Canis lupus familiaris: one gene and its partners. The protein of the gene in region 3 interacts with the protein of the main gene of each other region in a pairwise test. Links are inferred from orthologs where the notes say so. Each region holds a gene or a part of one and is shown on either strand. Other genes may lie near its edges.

Region 1 (5,015 bases), on a different chromosome or scaffold from region 3:
GATCATGGACATATAAGGAAAGTAGATGGCCCACTGCTTTCGGTTTTCTTCCACAGTGCTTAGGGCACCTTTGACTAGAGGGTACCTGGAAGGCTTTCTGTTGCATTATTATAAACAGGACAATTATTTTTTTTAAAGGACCAACGTGGTGACATTGGTCTTTCTTTACTAAGAGAGAGAGAGCATTCGTTGTCACAGCTGTATCCTTTGATCAGACACAAATGACGGTAAAATGTTAGAAGCTTTCTGTGACATTTCTTCCATCCTGCTCTTCCCCAGTGCTAATTCTCTTTTCTAGCTTTGCTCAGGGGGTTTAAGTTACTCTTTCCTTGCTGGCAGAGTCTGTGATACACCACCTCAGAGGCATCGGTCATTCCCCTAAGCAGGTAGTAAAGAAATACACCCCCCACCTCCACCCCCACGCAGTCCCCGTCCTCGCCTCTGAAGCCAGGCTAGTTTCCAGCAACTCTTGTTCGGGGCTTTCCCTTCTCAGCTACTGCCTTGACAGAGCCCTGTCTCTACCTCAAGCCCAGCCACGCTGCCAAGCACCCCAACTGAAAACTACACGCAGGGCACCCTGCACCACGCAGCTCTGCTCCTCTTCCTCCTCCTCATTAAAGTGGACCCTTCGTGAGCAACGAATGTCTTGCAAATTAAAACTCTGCCCCCTGCATTTTTAGCTCCTCTGCCCCCCTGACGCTTGCCGCCAGCTTCCCTCCGAAAAAGAAACCCACCCAAACCCCAAAATGAAATAACCCAAAGCACGCAAACACCTGAAGAGGCGCAACCGGGATCTACACCTGGACAAGTCCTCTGTGGCTCTAGTGGTCGGGATAGAGCATCCTCTCCCCGCGCGGACCGCTTTATCCCGCCCGGGGCCCGGGGCATGGCACGGCCTCCGGGCCGCGGGGTCGGCGGGGTCGCGCCCGGGCAGCTCGGGTCGCCGCGCAGGCCGCCCTCCTCCGGCCCCGGCCCGCCGCCGCCGCCGCCTCCACCCGGGCCGGCGCTCGCAGCACCCGGCGCCGCGTCCTCCCCGCCCGACCCCCGCCCTCCCGCGCCGGCCCGCGCCGCTGGCAGCCATCAAGTGGCTCGTTAGGGAAATGCAGGTGAGTGCGTGCGGCCGAGACGTGGGGTGTGTGCCTGTGTGTGCGAGCGCGAGCCAGCCAGCCAGCGCGGGAGCCGCCGGGAGGTGCCGGCCGCCTCCGCTCCCCGCCCCTCGCCGCCCGCTCCGGCACCTGCACCTGCGCCCGCGCCCGCACCTGCGCCCGCGCCCGCGCCCGCGCCCGCGGCGGCCGCCCGAGCGCCCCGGGCCGCGCCTCGCCCAGCGCCTCGCCCGGACGGCCGCTCGCCGGCCCTCCCCGCGGTCGCGGTCGCGGTCGCGGTCGCGGTCTCGGTCTCGGTCTCGGTCGCGGGCTCCGTCGCGGTCTCGGTCTCGGTCTCGGCCGCAGCTCGGCCGGCCTCCCGGCGCCCCCCCCCCCCCCCGCCCGGCGGTCCCCTCCCCGCCCGCGCCCTCCCGCGGCTCCTCCTCCTCCTGTCCGCCTCCTCCCCTCGCGCGCCGCCGACAGGCAGCCTCGGCGGGCAGAGTGCGGGTACTTTGCCTTCTGAAGAATTTGCAGGACCCAAGCACGCTTTCGGAGCGCCCCGATTTTCTTCGGTCGGTGTCCCCTCCCTCCGGAAACGAAGATCCCACTTGTGCAACAAACAGCACCCGAAGCATCCTGCCCAAGCCAAAGCCCGACGGGCTGCTGAGCATGTGCTGCCCTTTCTTGCAGTTTATTCTGGGCCTGTGTGGAATAGAGAGACAATTCTTTATTTGACTGGTAGGAAAGAGAAGAGAAGACTCCTCAGGGTTTCCAAGGAGGACTGGAGCGGCTGCTTTAGTAAGTAAACTGTGTTTTTTTTTTTTTTTTTTTTGATATTTCTTTACTCTCAAGTGAGGGAAGAGCATATGCCGAATGCTCTCCCTTCAGATGGTATGGACAGTTCGTTTCACCGGGGAAGAAGTTGACTTACATGACTTAAGTAGTTCTTAATTGAGAAGTGGTTTGTTAAGCTGCTTGCTTGCTTATTTATTTATTTATTTATTTATTATTATTATTATTATTTATTTTTTTTTTGGAAATGCATTGAGAAGACTTCATTGTGGGAAACCTTATTGGGGAATCTGATTTTTAAACCTTTATTGTTCAAGGGCTGTTGGAAGCCTGGCTTGTGAAACGTTGGTTGGTTCCAAGATATAAGGCTGGTTACCTAGAAAAAGCTTGAGAATTCGAACCTGCTGGTTCACTTTTCCTGCTACTGTCCACCTCCACCCTCAGCCACACCAACTCCCATCCTTCTCTGACTTCACTTGGTTGCTTATCTTTAGTCCTGAAGACAGCTGGCCAAAAAATTGGGTCAAGGGAAACTTGATAAAGACGGTCTGAAAGACCAGGAGAAAATCCTGTTGAGGTTTCTAGGTAGATGAGATGTGGAAGAAAATCCTCCAACTAGGCTAGTTTGGATAATTTGGATGAAATTCATTCAGAGAGGGAATGTGAAAAATGCTTTGGAGAGGGCAGGAGCTGAGGCTGTGACTTTGACACAGCAGGTTATAGACTGTGACAGGGGCTCAGCAGCCAGTGACAGGCTTAAGGTGTCTCCTAGGGCCGAATATCTCTGCATCAAAAACTTTTGCAGGCAGTATTCCTCTTGGGGCTAACATCACCATGTCGGTAGCTGCAGCATTTCTGTAAGAACAAGTAGGACACTCTTCCTCTTTCTGTGAAAGGGTTAATGATATATTTAAAAAGAATAAGAGGTATACAGTCTAACACTTGCCAATATTTTGTAATATCTAAATAAAACCTTTGTGTTATGTCAGTAAAAATATAGTTGAGTCAGTTTGTTTTGCACAGGAGGGAGAGAATCAATAACATTTCAGCATTTTTTTCTTTATTACTGCCAAATGGACTCGGAATCTAATTCTTCTTGCATTGTTACATATATAGTAGATACAGTAGAATTCCAGTTTAGATACAACAGAGCTGATTTTTTTTTTTAACAAAGTTCTCTGACATAATAGCATGCAGGCTGACTACTGTAGAATAGTAATTTAAAAAGTTTACCTTTAACTTTCAATTTCTATCTCAATGTAAAGCACACTTTTGCAAGCAAATGTCTTTAAGAGTTATGAACCAGATTGAAAATTAAAGCTCCTTACTTACAGATAATATTGTTTTTCCACAGAACACCTTACTATCAAATAATACCCAAGGGCTCTCATATTTAATTGCTGATAATGGTAAAGTGAAAAAAATATTATCTTTGTATTTACTCAAATATATAAAAGTGGCACTATTCATTTGGCATTGATTTTTAAAATTTTACAAGTAAACTCATGTACAATGGTTTTAAAAAAAAAGAAAGATGTTTTAGAGTTGTATGGTTCTTCAATGTCAAAAGCTTTGAATATCTTGGGACATAAGTTTTGAGGGTAATGAAATAACAGTAGGGCAATTGAATTTGTTGATATGAAGTTGTAATATATGGAAATCATTTGGTAAAGATATGTCACTGTTTATTGTATATTACTTTATTTTCTATCCAAATGGATTTTCTTAGAGGTATTGCTATTCTCAGTTTCCATTTCTGCGTTGTTTTAAAATGAATTTAGGTAATTTAAAATTAAACCCTTGGTTGATCAGATTTGATCCCTCTTCACTTGTGACCTCAAACACCTGAAAGGTATCTGATGTTTGAAAAAGCAGTTATTGAAAAATAAAAGGTAAGAGTGTACTGAAGTAGCCAATTTTAAGAGTGGATCAAACATGTTATTACATATATTACAATAGGACACATTAGAAAAGTAGAAAAGAAGAAAAGACATGACAGTAGAAAAGACATGACAAAATTGTTGACTATATTCAAATTGCTGAAAGCAAAGATTTACAATTAACATGAAAATTAATGTGAAACACATTCTGCCTGTGTTCTAATTATGTTAGAGTGCCAAGGAAGATAGCCTGAATTAAAACCATTTCTAGTCAAGCTTGAACATGTTATATTTGATCACTTTCAAAGAAGTCAAAACTGGGTGGGATGATTAAATTGTCTTTTTGTTTGTTTTCTTGTTTTTGCCTTTTTTTTTTTCTTGCCACCAGTTTTCTATGCAATACAGAGGTGGTTGCAACTTTAAAGTTGAAAAAAGAAAGTTGCTAGTGTCAGCAGTAATGTGTTTTATTATGCAGTTGTTCTTGTTATTCAGATCAGATAATGGCCCTATGAAATACATAAGCAGTCTGCAGGGAATGAATGATTAATTCCTCTAACGTGTGCTTACTAAAGGAGTTCTTATTAATAAAGTGCCGTATACCTGCATTTGCTTGCCATTGCAGTTGGTGAAGGCAAATGTACTTTTCTTTTCCTTTAATACTAATATGGAATTTACAGGTCTAGTCCTGTAACTGTAGTAGCTTAAAGATGACTTCATCGAACACATGATCTTATGTTTTATAGAACCCTTTGGATATGATTGCTATTTACTTAAAACAATTTATTTGGAAAGTAAAATGTTGTTAATTAAATGTGAACTTAAAGACTGAACATTAAAAATTGTGTTTTTCACTCAGTGGAATGACACTCTCTCTCTCCTGTGTATTATTACTTGGGTGTGGATGCAAACGACAAGTGCAAAGGACATTTTTCTTTGGTACTATTAAGTGCAAGAGAAAAGTTAAAATATTGTTGCTTGTATGAAATAATTAGCTAGATACTCTGTTAAAATTTTGGGACAGGCTACTAGTGCATATGACAATTGTTGTGGTTACCGCTGGTGTAAAATGTATTGCAGTTAGAGGTGTATCATTGATTAACTTTCAAGATCTTTGCATTTCTAAGACTGGATTATTGGTGAAGGTGGAAGATGGATTTCATGTGGTGATTTGAGAACAGGTGACCTGAAGTGCATACTACACATTTTAAATTTACCTACCCAATATCTTCTGTTTTCAGAAATTTCTAAAAAATGTAATTTT
Region 2 (4,862 bases), on a different chromosome or scaffold from region 3:
ATGCCACGCTGCACCTTGGAGCCTCGTCATCCCCGCGCATCCCCCGTCCCTCCCGGGCCACCTCGCTGACCGTTGTCCGGGCCACTCGGAGGCTGGAGCAATCAGCGGAGCCACAGGTCTCCTGGCGCCCGGCCCCAGGCAGCGGCAGTCGGAGGTGAGCACTGCACTCTGACGCCTGTGACACGCGCCTCACTGCCAACCCAGTAAGCAGGAAGGGAAACTGAGTCACCACCACCACCACCCCCCCGGAAAGTTGGCCAGTGGAGGTAGATCCATCTCCGGCCCCGGGTCCAAAGAAGCCCAGGCTGAGCTCCAAGCTCCGTGTGACCCAAAGAGGCAGCAAATGGGCGGATGGTGATGGTTCCAGAACTACCCACCCAGATGCCACCACTAAATCCCTGACGTCCAGGGAGCTCCTCCCCTCGCACCCACTCCTCACACCCTCGCATCCAGAGCTACAGTCCCAGGGTTGGGAGAAAAATGCCTCAGGTCTCCCAAGTGTGGCCCAGGGACAGGCGAAGACACCCGGAATCCCCTGGGAAACAGGGAAGCAAGAAGGGCGCTCGGAATCTCTGCCGGAGGGGACAGAAGCAGAGGGACGGGCCATGGGTGATGTCCTGGGAGGGCAGCAGGCAGGTGCCTGGCTCTCGGGACCCCTCTCCCCGCACCCCCCACACGGCCAGCTCAGGGCCCTGCAAGGGACCCGGGGGAAGGGCGGATCCCCGGGGAAGCCCAGCGACCACCTGGGCAGCGTCCTCCAAGGCCATACCCAGCCACAGCAGGATGCCCCATCCCGTCTCCTGCAGGCGGTGGGGAGTGGGTCAGGCCACTGCCTCTGCCCTAGGACAGCCACTGGCATAACAGCACCAGCCCCCGCCACCCCCCTGGGGGGCCGATGTCATCGGGGCCAGGATGGCAGGAATAGAAAAGCACATGAGCTCACCAGGCAGGCCGGGTCTCCCGCGACGTTTTGTTTGCCTGAGCCCAATTATACCAAGTCTCAGGGCGATAGAGTATGGCGCGTGGCATCCCCCTGGGGCCGTGGGGGGCCGGGCCCCCAAGAACTGCACCGTCATGGCGAGGTGCCCCTGGGCTCAGGGGATGGGGCAGGACGGAGCTTTCTGGAGAAGAATGATGGAGATGCACGCCGGCGGCAGCCAGCCCGGAGGCTGGGCGGAGGGCATCGTAGGGGGCAGGGGGCTGCGGCCCAGACCCAAGTCCAAGTTGGTGGGCTCCGGGCGGTGGGGGCGGGAAGCAGCCGCCCCCAGCCCCAGCTGCCCGCCTTCCGCAGCCAAAGTATCAGCTGGCAGAGGAAGAAGAGAGCGGAGGGACAGAAGGCGGGCGAGATTGGCAGGAGGAGGGGGGCACAAAGGAAGGGACCCTGGGAGGGGGAGGGGAGTTATGCAAATAGCACAATCGACCGAATCCCTCGGCCATTAATAAAAGCTCCAGCAGCAGCAGCAGCTGGTAGCGCAGGAGTAGAGGCGCGGACTGGCTCTCCTCGCAGGCGGGAGGCGGCGATGAGGCGGAAGCAGGGCGCCCCAAACAAAAGGAGACCTTGCCCTCTGCACCCCAGGAACAGTAGTGATGGGGGCCACGCCGGGAAAGCTAGAACCCCAGCAGCCAAACTCTGGGTGGAGGCCGCTGGGGGCCCACAGCAGGTGGGTCCCCGTGCTTGGGACTCTCGGGGACCCTCCAGCTTCGTCCGGGCTTCTTGGAGTGAGAACGGACGCACAACCTGGACACCTCAGACACCCCCCTCCACTAGCTGTGCTGGCCAGGCCGGTCTTTTTTTTTTCCAGGGGTTCTGCCGGTGATAGAAGGGCCCTGGGCTCCAGAATGGGGACTCCCCCAGAGTGAGATGGGGGATACAGGGGGAATCCCAGTTGAGCCTAGCAAGGGGAGGGGAGGTGTCCCCCAGTTGGGAGGCGCTGGGGAGGTTTCTTAATGTGGGAGACGAGGTCCCTAGGGGGTGACTACATTTGAGAAAGGGGTATTCTCAAAAGCTGCCCATTTACAGGGCGACCAGAGGAGAATCTGAAATTGGGGGAAGGGTCGCTAAGCTGGAGGTTCCAGACGCGGGGGGGGGGGGGGGGGGGGGGGAGGGAAACGACACAGGCTGTGTCTGGGAAAAAAAAAAAAAATCCCAGTTTGCGCAAGGGTTCCCTGATTTGAGAATTCTGGAGAAAAGAGGCTGCAGGGGAGTTCTCCGATTTAGGGTGGAGGGAAGTGACCAGAACTTGGGGGGTGCTAAGTGAGATCGTAAATCTGGGAGAGATTTCCATAAGGAGCAGTGAACTTGGCCGAAAGCCTTGCGCCCCGACTCCGGGGGCTGTCCTCAGGGCACACCCCCCCCAGCGCCCCCTTCACCGGGTTCCGGCGACTCCGCCCCCCGGATGACGTCACCTCCCCTCCCCCCGCCCCTAAGGGGGCTCCCGGGGCGCGCAAAACCCCCCGGGCTGCCGGCTCCAGGGGCGGCTTCCCCTCTCCCGGGATCCCCAGGGGAGGTCGGTGCCGGGTGCGCGCACCCGTCCGTCCGTCGGTCCGTCCGCGTCCCTGGGGCTGGGGGCTGAGCCTCGCCCCGCCTGGGGGACGGGGAGGGGCGCCGGGGCCGCAGAAGGGTGGGGCAAGGCCGGGGCGCTGGGGGGCGGCCTCCCCCGGGGACCTACGCGGCCAGGAGGGCGCTAAGGTGAGGCGGCGTTGAGTCCGAGGTCTCCAGGGGCGGGGGCCTGCGGAGCCGGGCGCGGGCAGAGCAGCCCCCCGGGCGCCCCGGCCGCTCCGCCCTCGCGCCCACCTGGAGCACCGGTCCCGGGCCGGCCTCCGCTCCGGGGCGCCCGCGAGCCCCCTCCCCCGGCACAGCGCCCCCTGCCTCCCGGACCCGCCCGGGAAACCGGGGCCGGAGCCGCCGGGGCCAGCAGCCCCTCCGCACACACGCGCGTGCCCCTCCGCGCCTCCGCCCCGCCCGCGGCCCGGGTGGTGCAGCCGGCGGCGCTGGGCAGCTTCCAGCCGCGCTCCGGGCCATTCCAGCCCAGCCCCCTCCCCGCCGCGGCGAAGCCCCCCGCCCCGCCCGCCGAGCCTCCCCGCGGCCCCCGCCCGCCCGGCCCGGCCCCTCCGGGGCATTGTTCGCACGCCGCTAGCCAGGCGCAGGGCTGGGCGTGCAGCCGGCTGCAGCGGAGCATCCTCCGAGCACAATGGCCGTGCAGGCTCTCCCGGCACAAAGCCGGCGCGCTGCCCACTCCGCTGCCTCCGAGACCCCCACCGGAGCGCCTGCAGGTTTTTTTTTTTTTCAATCCAATTCGCGTTTTATTCCCCCCCCGCCCGTTTACCTGGAGGCTGGCTGGGCTGGGCTCCCCCGGCTCTGCCCCGCTTCACATCCTGGCTGTTGCATGGGATTCGAGCGGAGCCCGGGCGCCAGCGGCTCGCGGCGTGCGCGCGCCGGCCGGGCTGCCGGGCGGGCGGCGCGAGGACACTCACTGCGGCTCGCGCTCCCCTCGCGCCGGTTCGCGCGCCCCCCCCAGCCGGTGACGTCATCCCTTCCGCCAGCGCCGCCGCCGCCGCCGCCGGCCGGGGGCGGGGTCGGGGCGGGGCCGGGCCGCGCGCGTCACTGCGCAGCCGCGCGGCGGCCACGCCCCCCCGGCCAATGAGAGGGCGCGGGTGGGTCACGTGGCCCCGGGGCGTTTAAAGGGCCGCGAGAGCACGTGGGGCGCGGGGCGCCGAGGAGCGCGGGGCGCGTGGGCGGCGGCGGCGCGAGGACTCGTCCGGCAGCTGCTCGGCGTCCGACCCCCGCGACGCTCGGCCCCCGGGGCGTGGTGCTTGCGGGGCGCGCGCTGTGGCCCCCCGAGTCTCCCTCGAGTACGCCCACGTGTGCCCGTGCTGCAGCCCCGCCGGCTCCCTCCCGGCTCAGCCCCCTCGCCCGGAATAGCGCTCCCCCGAGGGCCTCCCCTTCTTGCGGCCGCTGCTCCGATGGCAGCTCCCGGGAAAAGCCCTCCTGGGTCGCCGCCACCAGCCTCCCGGCGCCCCATTCTCTGATCCATCAGGGCTGCTTTCATTCTGGTCACAAGAAGGTGTGACTCCAAAGGGCCTGGGGATCCCTTTTATGGGTCGAATGGACGAGGGAGCATTTATTTCCTCCCTCCTCATTACCGTTCCCTGCTTCCCTGGCTGGAGTCGGCATGAATCGTCACAGGAATCCCAGCTCGGGCACTGAGTCGCTGTGTGGGTCCGTGAGCCTCAGTTTTCCCACCTGCAAAACGGGCTTGTCCCTTTGCGGGTCGGTGTCCTGTCTGTGAAGTGGGGCAAGGTAGAGAGTGGGAGGGTGGACTGGTGATGGTGTGCTGCCCTGCCTGTCTTCTTAGCGGCTTGAAAATGGAATGAGGAAAAAAAAGAAAGAAACAAAGGGGAAGGATTGCCATGGGAGGTTGGAGGGCCCAAAGACACCAAACAAGATTGCACGCTTCTGGGTGAGTTCTGCACACGCTGAAAGCGGTTTATTTCTCCAAGGGATGTATCTGGACAGGGCCTTGCGCCTACAAAAGGACACAAGTTTAGAGTTTGGGTTTTTCCTCCAAAATCGTTGATTCATTCATTCCAGGCCAAAGATGCAGATATAAACAAAAGGCATTAACCCCGAGAACAAAATGAGAAGGCGGAAGTCATAAATAGGAGAAGAGAGAGGAGAGAATGAATAATTAAACAAGGAACCTAAATTAAGCTCGGAGTTTCCCGGCGGCCAGTGCAGCGGCCAGGTTTGCAGAGCCTATTTGGTTCTCCTTCCTAGCTGCGTGACCCTGACCTAAGCGGCGGCAGCCTGGCCTTGGTTTTCTCATCCAGGCAAGGGAGACCCAGCCCCTTCTTGATGATGG
Region 3 (5,101 bases):
CAATGAGAATTAGAACTGCCATGGCAACTAAAACAGTTGGTTGGTGAGCTCCCCAGCTTACTGACCACTTGGATCTCCATTTCCTTCCCGGATCGTAGGTAGGATACAGGAACAGCCAAGTGGTACGAATTTCTTTGAATAGGAAATTGGAAATGTAAGTACTCTTTCAAAGGTTCTCGTTCTTTCCCTCTCTCCTTCTTTACTGATTGCTTACCTTCTCGGGGACACACAGGAAACTTCAACAGGGTTGACGCTAGTGGCTGAAGTCACCCAGTCCAGGGCCCCCACCTCTTTCCTCAGGGGACCGACCGGACTACTTGGGCAGCCCTGGAGCCTCACTGATAGAAATCTTACTCTTTGGTTGTCCCTTAAAGAGACAACTTCTTGGTCACAACAGCATAGCGACTGGGTCAGGGATCAAAAGCTCCCATTCATTCGTGGCTCCAGTTCCAACGCTAAACTAACTGGGTGCCTGTGGGCAAGTCCTTTTGGGGATTCGAAAGGAAATGAGGCCTTAGTTTCTCCTTTTGAACAGAGGAGGAAGAGGGCCACATCTTCTGCCACCCACCCCCAGCTCAGGCCTTCCCCGAACTGTAGGGTCACACTATTCATTAGGTTGTTTTCCATAGTCTTGATAGACCTGGGACACATCCAGATCTCTAGGACTGGTCACACTCCGATCTTAGAGGAACACTCCTCCCGAGCTCTAGAAAGCCATCTCTAGAAACTAGGAGAGGTGGCCTGGGCCATGCTTATGGTTGACAACCAACCACATCATGAGAGAGCTGAGGCTGGTGGGCACATTTGTAAAAACACGACCCTGGCCATAGTACTGGTCTATCTATCCCCTCCCCTCCCACATTCCTGGGTTTTCTTTATCAAGCCTTCGACGGGAGAGTTGGAGCAAAACCATTTTAGGGAAAATGGCTCGTTTTCTTGACTAAGCCTTACAAGGGTGCCACTCCATCTCTAAAACAGGTTTTGGATAAATACTTTGGGGAAATAGTTTAGTTGGGTGGTATAGGTACACAGAAAAGGCATTTTAGCTTCCCAAAAGCTATTTTCCATGATTTATGTTTGCCTAGGTTTTACTAAAGGAACATTTATTGGGGGGGTGGGGGAGGGAGGGGGCTTCCCTAATGATAAAAATAATGTGCATTCATGATGTAGTACCTGGAAAGCACAAAGTAGCCCAAAGAAGGAAATGAATGAGTGAGTATGAATAAGGACGTGAATGGAGCCGCCCCCCGTGGGATCCCACTTGCTCTAGCAGCCCAGGAGTAAGGCCGTGTCGTTTTCACATCATACAGGTGGGGCGCTGAGCGCCGCGGGCTCCGCTGACCTGCCCAGGCCACCGCGCAGGGGCGAGCCTGCACTCCCCACGCCGCGCCCAGGAATCTCCGCATCAAACGGTGCCCACTGGGCATCCGCAGGAATCGCAGGTAAGGGCCCCGCGTAGACGCCGCGACCTTCTGAGTCCTGGAACGGTCGGTCCCGAGGAGGGTCCGACCCCGAGGAGGCAGCCAGCAGGTGTCTCGCGCCGGGGCGCACCCGCCTCGAGGAAGGCGCTGGCTCAGAACCCGACGCACGGTAGACGTTGCCAACGGCCTCTGGGCGGCCGGAGCCGCGGTAGGTGAGCTCCGGCTCGGTGGAGAAGGCCCCTACCTGGGGGGCGGGGCCGGGGGCGGGGCTCCGCCCGCACCTGGCCAATGGGCGCCGGGGGACCCGCCCCGCCCCTCGAGTGGGCGGGGCTTGCGCGCCCGGCCTCCGCGGCGCTCCCCAACCCCCGGGGGGCGGGGCCGGCCGGCGGCGCTCGGCGCTGACGCTGCGCCGACGCGCCCGACGTCGGGCACGTTGACGCCGGCGACGCGCAGCCGGGCCCGCTCCTCCTGCGCTCAGGCAGTGTCCGGCCGCGGGCCGGCCTTGGTGACTGGGGGCTGCGGGCCCGGGGCCGGCGGGCGCGGGCGCGGGCCGCTTTCGTCGGGCCCCGAGCTCGCCCGGAGCGAGCAGCCGCCCGCACGGCGCCGCGGAGCCTCCTCGCCCGCTCCCGCCGGCGAGCAAGGTAAGGAGCGGGAGACTGAGGCAGGCTGGGGCGGAGCGGGGCGGAGCGGGGCCGCGGGCGCCCGGGCGCCGGCCCCTCCCCGCGGCGGCCCCCTCCCCGCGGCGGCGCTCGCTGTCAGCCCCCGGGCGCGGAGGCGGTGGGCCCCGGCGGGGCGCCCCGAGGCCGGGCTCCTGGGGCCGCGGCGCCCCGGGGGCCCCGGGTCAGCCCCGGGTCAGCCCCGGGTCAGCCCCGGGTCAGCCCCGCGCCGGGCTCGGGGGCCGAGGACCTGTGGCCGGGGAAGCCGCGGCCCGGGCTGCGCTCCAGCTGTCAGCGGTGCCCCGCGGTCCGGGGTCCGGGGTCCGGGGCCCGGGGCCCTGCAGCGCGGCGCTGGGCGAGGGGCGAGGAGGTCGCGGCGGTCGCGGCGGTCGCGGCGTCGCCGCCCCCGGGGCTCCAGCCTCCTCCCGCGGCGCCCGCCTGCTGTGGGCCTCGCTGGCGGCGTCTCCTTCTCCCCTTTCCCTTCTCCTCCGTCCTCCTCCCTGTCCTTTCTTCCGTCTTGCTTCCTCCTCCGCTCCCTCCTAGCCGTCCGCGGCCGCACCGACCTGCTCCATGCCCGGTGTGCAAGTTTCCTTTCTAATACTCTTTTCTTTTTTTCCCTCCGGCCGTAAACTTACGTAAGTTGGGTTGCCTGACCGTCACACCTTTTGCAGCCACTGACAAACACCTTTCCCGGCCCTTAACGAATCCGGTGCCTTTGAGCGCTCACCCAGTCCGGCCCGAAGCCGAGGGAGCCGCCAGTCCTCCTCGGGAGCTGACTGCACACATTCCTCCAAGATGCCTGATGCATTTTGTACTTGTCAGTTTTACTGGCTGTATGCTCCTTCTGTGCTTTTCCCGAAACATGATTGGGTGGCATGTGTTTTGACTTTCTCTCCCCGAACCGGGAAATAAAGGGGAAAAAGTAAGTTGCAGAAGCACACTTGTTTTCAACAACCAGAAAGTACAGCTTTGCAGACAAAACGCCCCAGGGTTGGTTCTGTACTCCAGGGGTAGTCTGTGAGGTCTCTACCCTGCCCTGCACTATCCCACGTATTAATCTGTTCCCACACTCAGGATTCGCCTGTGTATGTTTTTTTCCGCTTACTTATACTCAGAGTGTAACAGTCGGATCTGAGAATAACGAGGCTGTCAACCTTCATTTTATGAGCAGCACGGAGAGCTAATAAAGTTGCAGGTTTGTGGGAGCCTTTATTTTGCACTTAATGACTGGAGTCTGGGTGTTTTATTTCAAGATGATGTGCGAGGTGATGCCGACCATCAGTGAAGCAGAAGGCCTGCCAGGAGGAAGTGGGAGCCGTGGGTCCAGCTCTCCTTCGCAGCCAGATGCAGATTCACATTTCGAACAGTTGATGGTGTCCATGCTGGAGGAGAGGGACCGTCTTCTGGACACGCTGAGAGAGACTCAGGAAACGCTGGCATTAACCCAGGGGAAGTTACATGAGGTCGGGCATGAAAGAGATTCCTTGCAGAGGCAGCTCAATACTGCACTTCCACAGGTATGGATGCCTTTCACCTGGAACTTTACAGATCTTTCTTTCCCCTTCTAAATTATGGTGTCACCTTTCATGGTGTTCATGTTTTACATGAGTCTGTGAAATGGTGGTTCTGGTTTTTTTTTTTAATTATTAAAGATTTAATTTCTTTATTCATGAGAGACAGAGAGAAAGAGAGAGAGAGAGAGAGAGAAGCAGGCTCCATGCAGGGAGCCCGAAGTGGGACTCGATCCCAGGTCTCCAGGATCACACCCTGGGCCGAAGGTGGCACTGAACTGCTGAGCCACCTGGGCTGCTTGTGGTTCTGGTGTCTGTAAGTCATGTGCAGAGAGGGTTCCCGAGGGTTGAACCTCTGAGGGAAGACAAGCTGTGGTGCACTATACTTAAACACCTCGTAACTCTTGTTCCTTTCTTCTGCCTTAATTTGGGACAGTGCTCCGAAGTTTTTGGACAAGGGCCATGAGGCATCCAAGCTGCGTGCTGCCTTCCATTCTGTCGTCTTAGGCCTTTCTTGCTCAACCTGTGTTTCTTATGGATTTTATCGCATTTCCCATTTTCTAATGAAATTTAATGGATAGATAGGATTGATTTCACAGGAAAGATAAAGATATTTTTACAGTCCACTTTTCTAAGAACACCTGTGTTTTATAAATGAAGTTTGTTGTGGAGGATATGAGACAGAGATTAATTCCTTCGGAACTTTCTTCTTGGCCGATGAGAATTGTAAGCTTGAAGTGACGCCGAAGCCATTAATCTTAGTATATGACATTTGGACTAGTTTCAAAGCCTCTCCTTGTGGAGCTGAGTGAGGACGTCATGATAGGTGAGGGTAGAGGGTAGAGGAAAGTGTAAGGCGAGTGGCACAGAGCATGCCGGAGACACAGAGGTTACTTGGGTGTTCACAGCCGCCTAGGTGCCACTTGAGTTACCCGTAATAGGCGCCTTTGTGGTCCTTTCAGGTAGGCCTGCATAAGCACATGCTTGTGCTCCCACCGTCGGTCTGCAGTGCTAAATTAGTAAATGAGTAATTGCCAGCCTGAATGCATTTCTTGGCTGTAGCTGGTTCTCCTGAAAGATTGATAAGCCAGACGTTTGCATTTCCTTTTTAGCAATAATAATCTGCCGTTAGTGCTGTAGTGCTCCTTTTCTGTTGGATCGGGGAGCCATCACGGTTTTTCTCGGGCAAGCGTCACGAATTGTGTACTTTGTGTAGGTCTGGTTTTATTACCACGAGCTCGAAAGCATGGGCCAAATGATGCTCCACCAGGATTTTAGTGTACTTGTAAATTTTTCAGTAGTTTTTGTTTTTTTGATTTGTGATTGTATTTGTTTTAATGTAATTTGAGACAGTGCATTGAAGCGCATGTCAAATACTTATGTATTTGATCAGGTGGACTTTTGAAAGAATGAGCACACACAACAGCCTAACAGAAGGGACAGCAGTTTTGTGCAGTACAGTCTAGTGCAGTGAAGGTTGTCCCACCAGCGGGGTGGCACAGTCGCTCAGTGA

Evidence for each region.
Region 1: the proteins of PPFIA1 (region 3) and PTPRD interact in a two-hybrid assay, tested with the Homo sapiens proteins (2 studies listed by BioGRID). The link is inferred for Canis lupus familiaris from reciprocal best matches to the Homo sapiens genes PPFIA1 and PTPRD.
Region 2: the proteins of PPFIA1 (region 3) and PTPRS interact in a two-hybrid assay, tested with the Homo sapiens proteins (2 studies listed by BioGRID). The link is inferred for Canis lupus familiaris from reciprocal best matches to the Homo sapiens genes PPFIA1 and PTPRS.

The regions. Positions count from the first base shown.
Region 1 is NC_049232.1:31,345,514-31,350,528, reverse strand, and holds the start of PTPRD (receptor-type tyrosine-protein phosphatase delta), read left to right. Parts: upstream 1-1,550; 5' UTR 1,551-1,880; intron 1,881-5,015.
Region 2 is NC_049241.1:54,970,024-54,974,885, reverse strand, and holds the start of PTPRS (receptor-type tyrosine-protein phosphatase S), read right to left. Parts: upstream 3,466-4,862; 5' UTR 3,327-3,465; intron 1-3,326. UniProt on the Homo sapiens protein: Cell surface receptor that binds to glycosaminoglycans, including chondroitin sulfate proteoglycans and heparan sulfate proteoglycan.
Region 3 is NC_049239.1:48,513,045-48,518,145, reverse strand, and holds the start of PPFIA1 (liprin-alpha-1), read left to right. Parts: upstream 1-1,968; 5' UTR 1,969-2,062; intron 2,063-3,330; coding exon 3,331-3,594; intron 3,595-5,101. UniProt on the Homo sapiens protein: May regulate the disassembly of focal adhesions. May localize receptor-like tyrosine phosphatases type 2A at specific sites on the plasma membrane, possibly regulating their interaction with the extracellular environment and their association with substrates.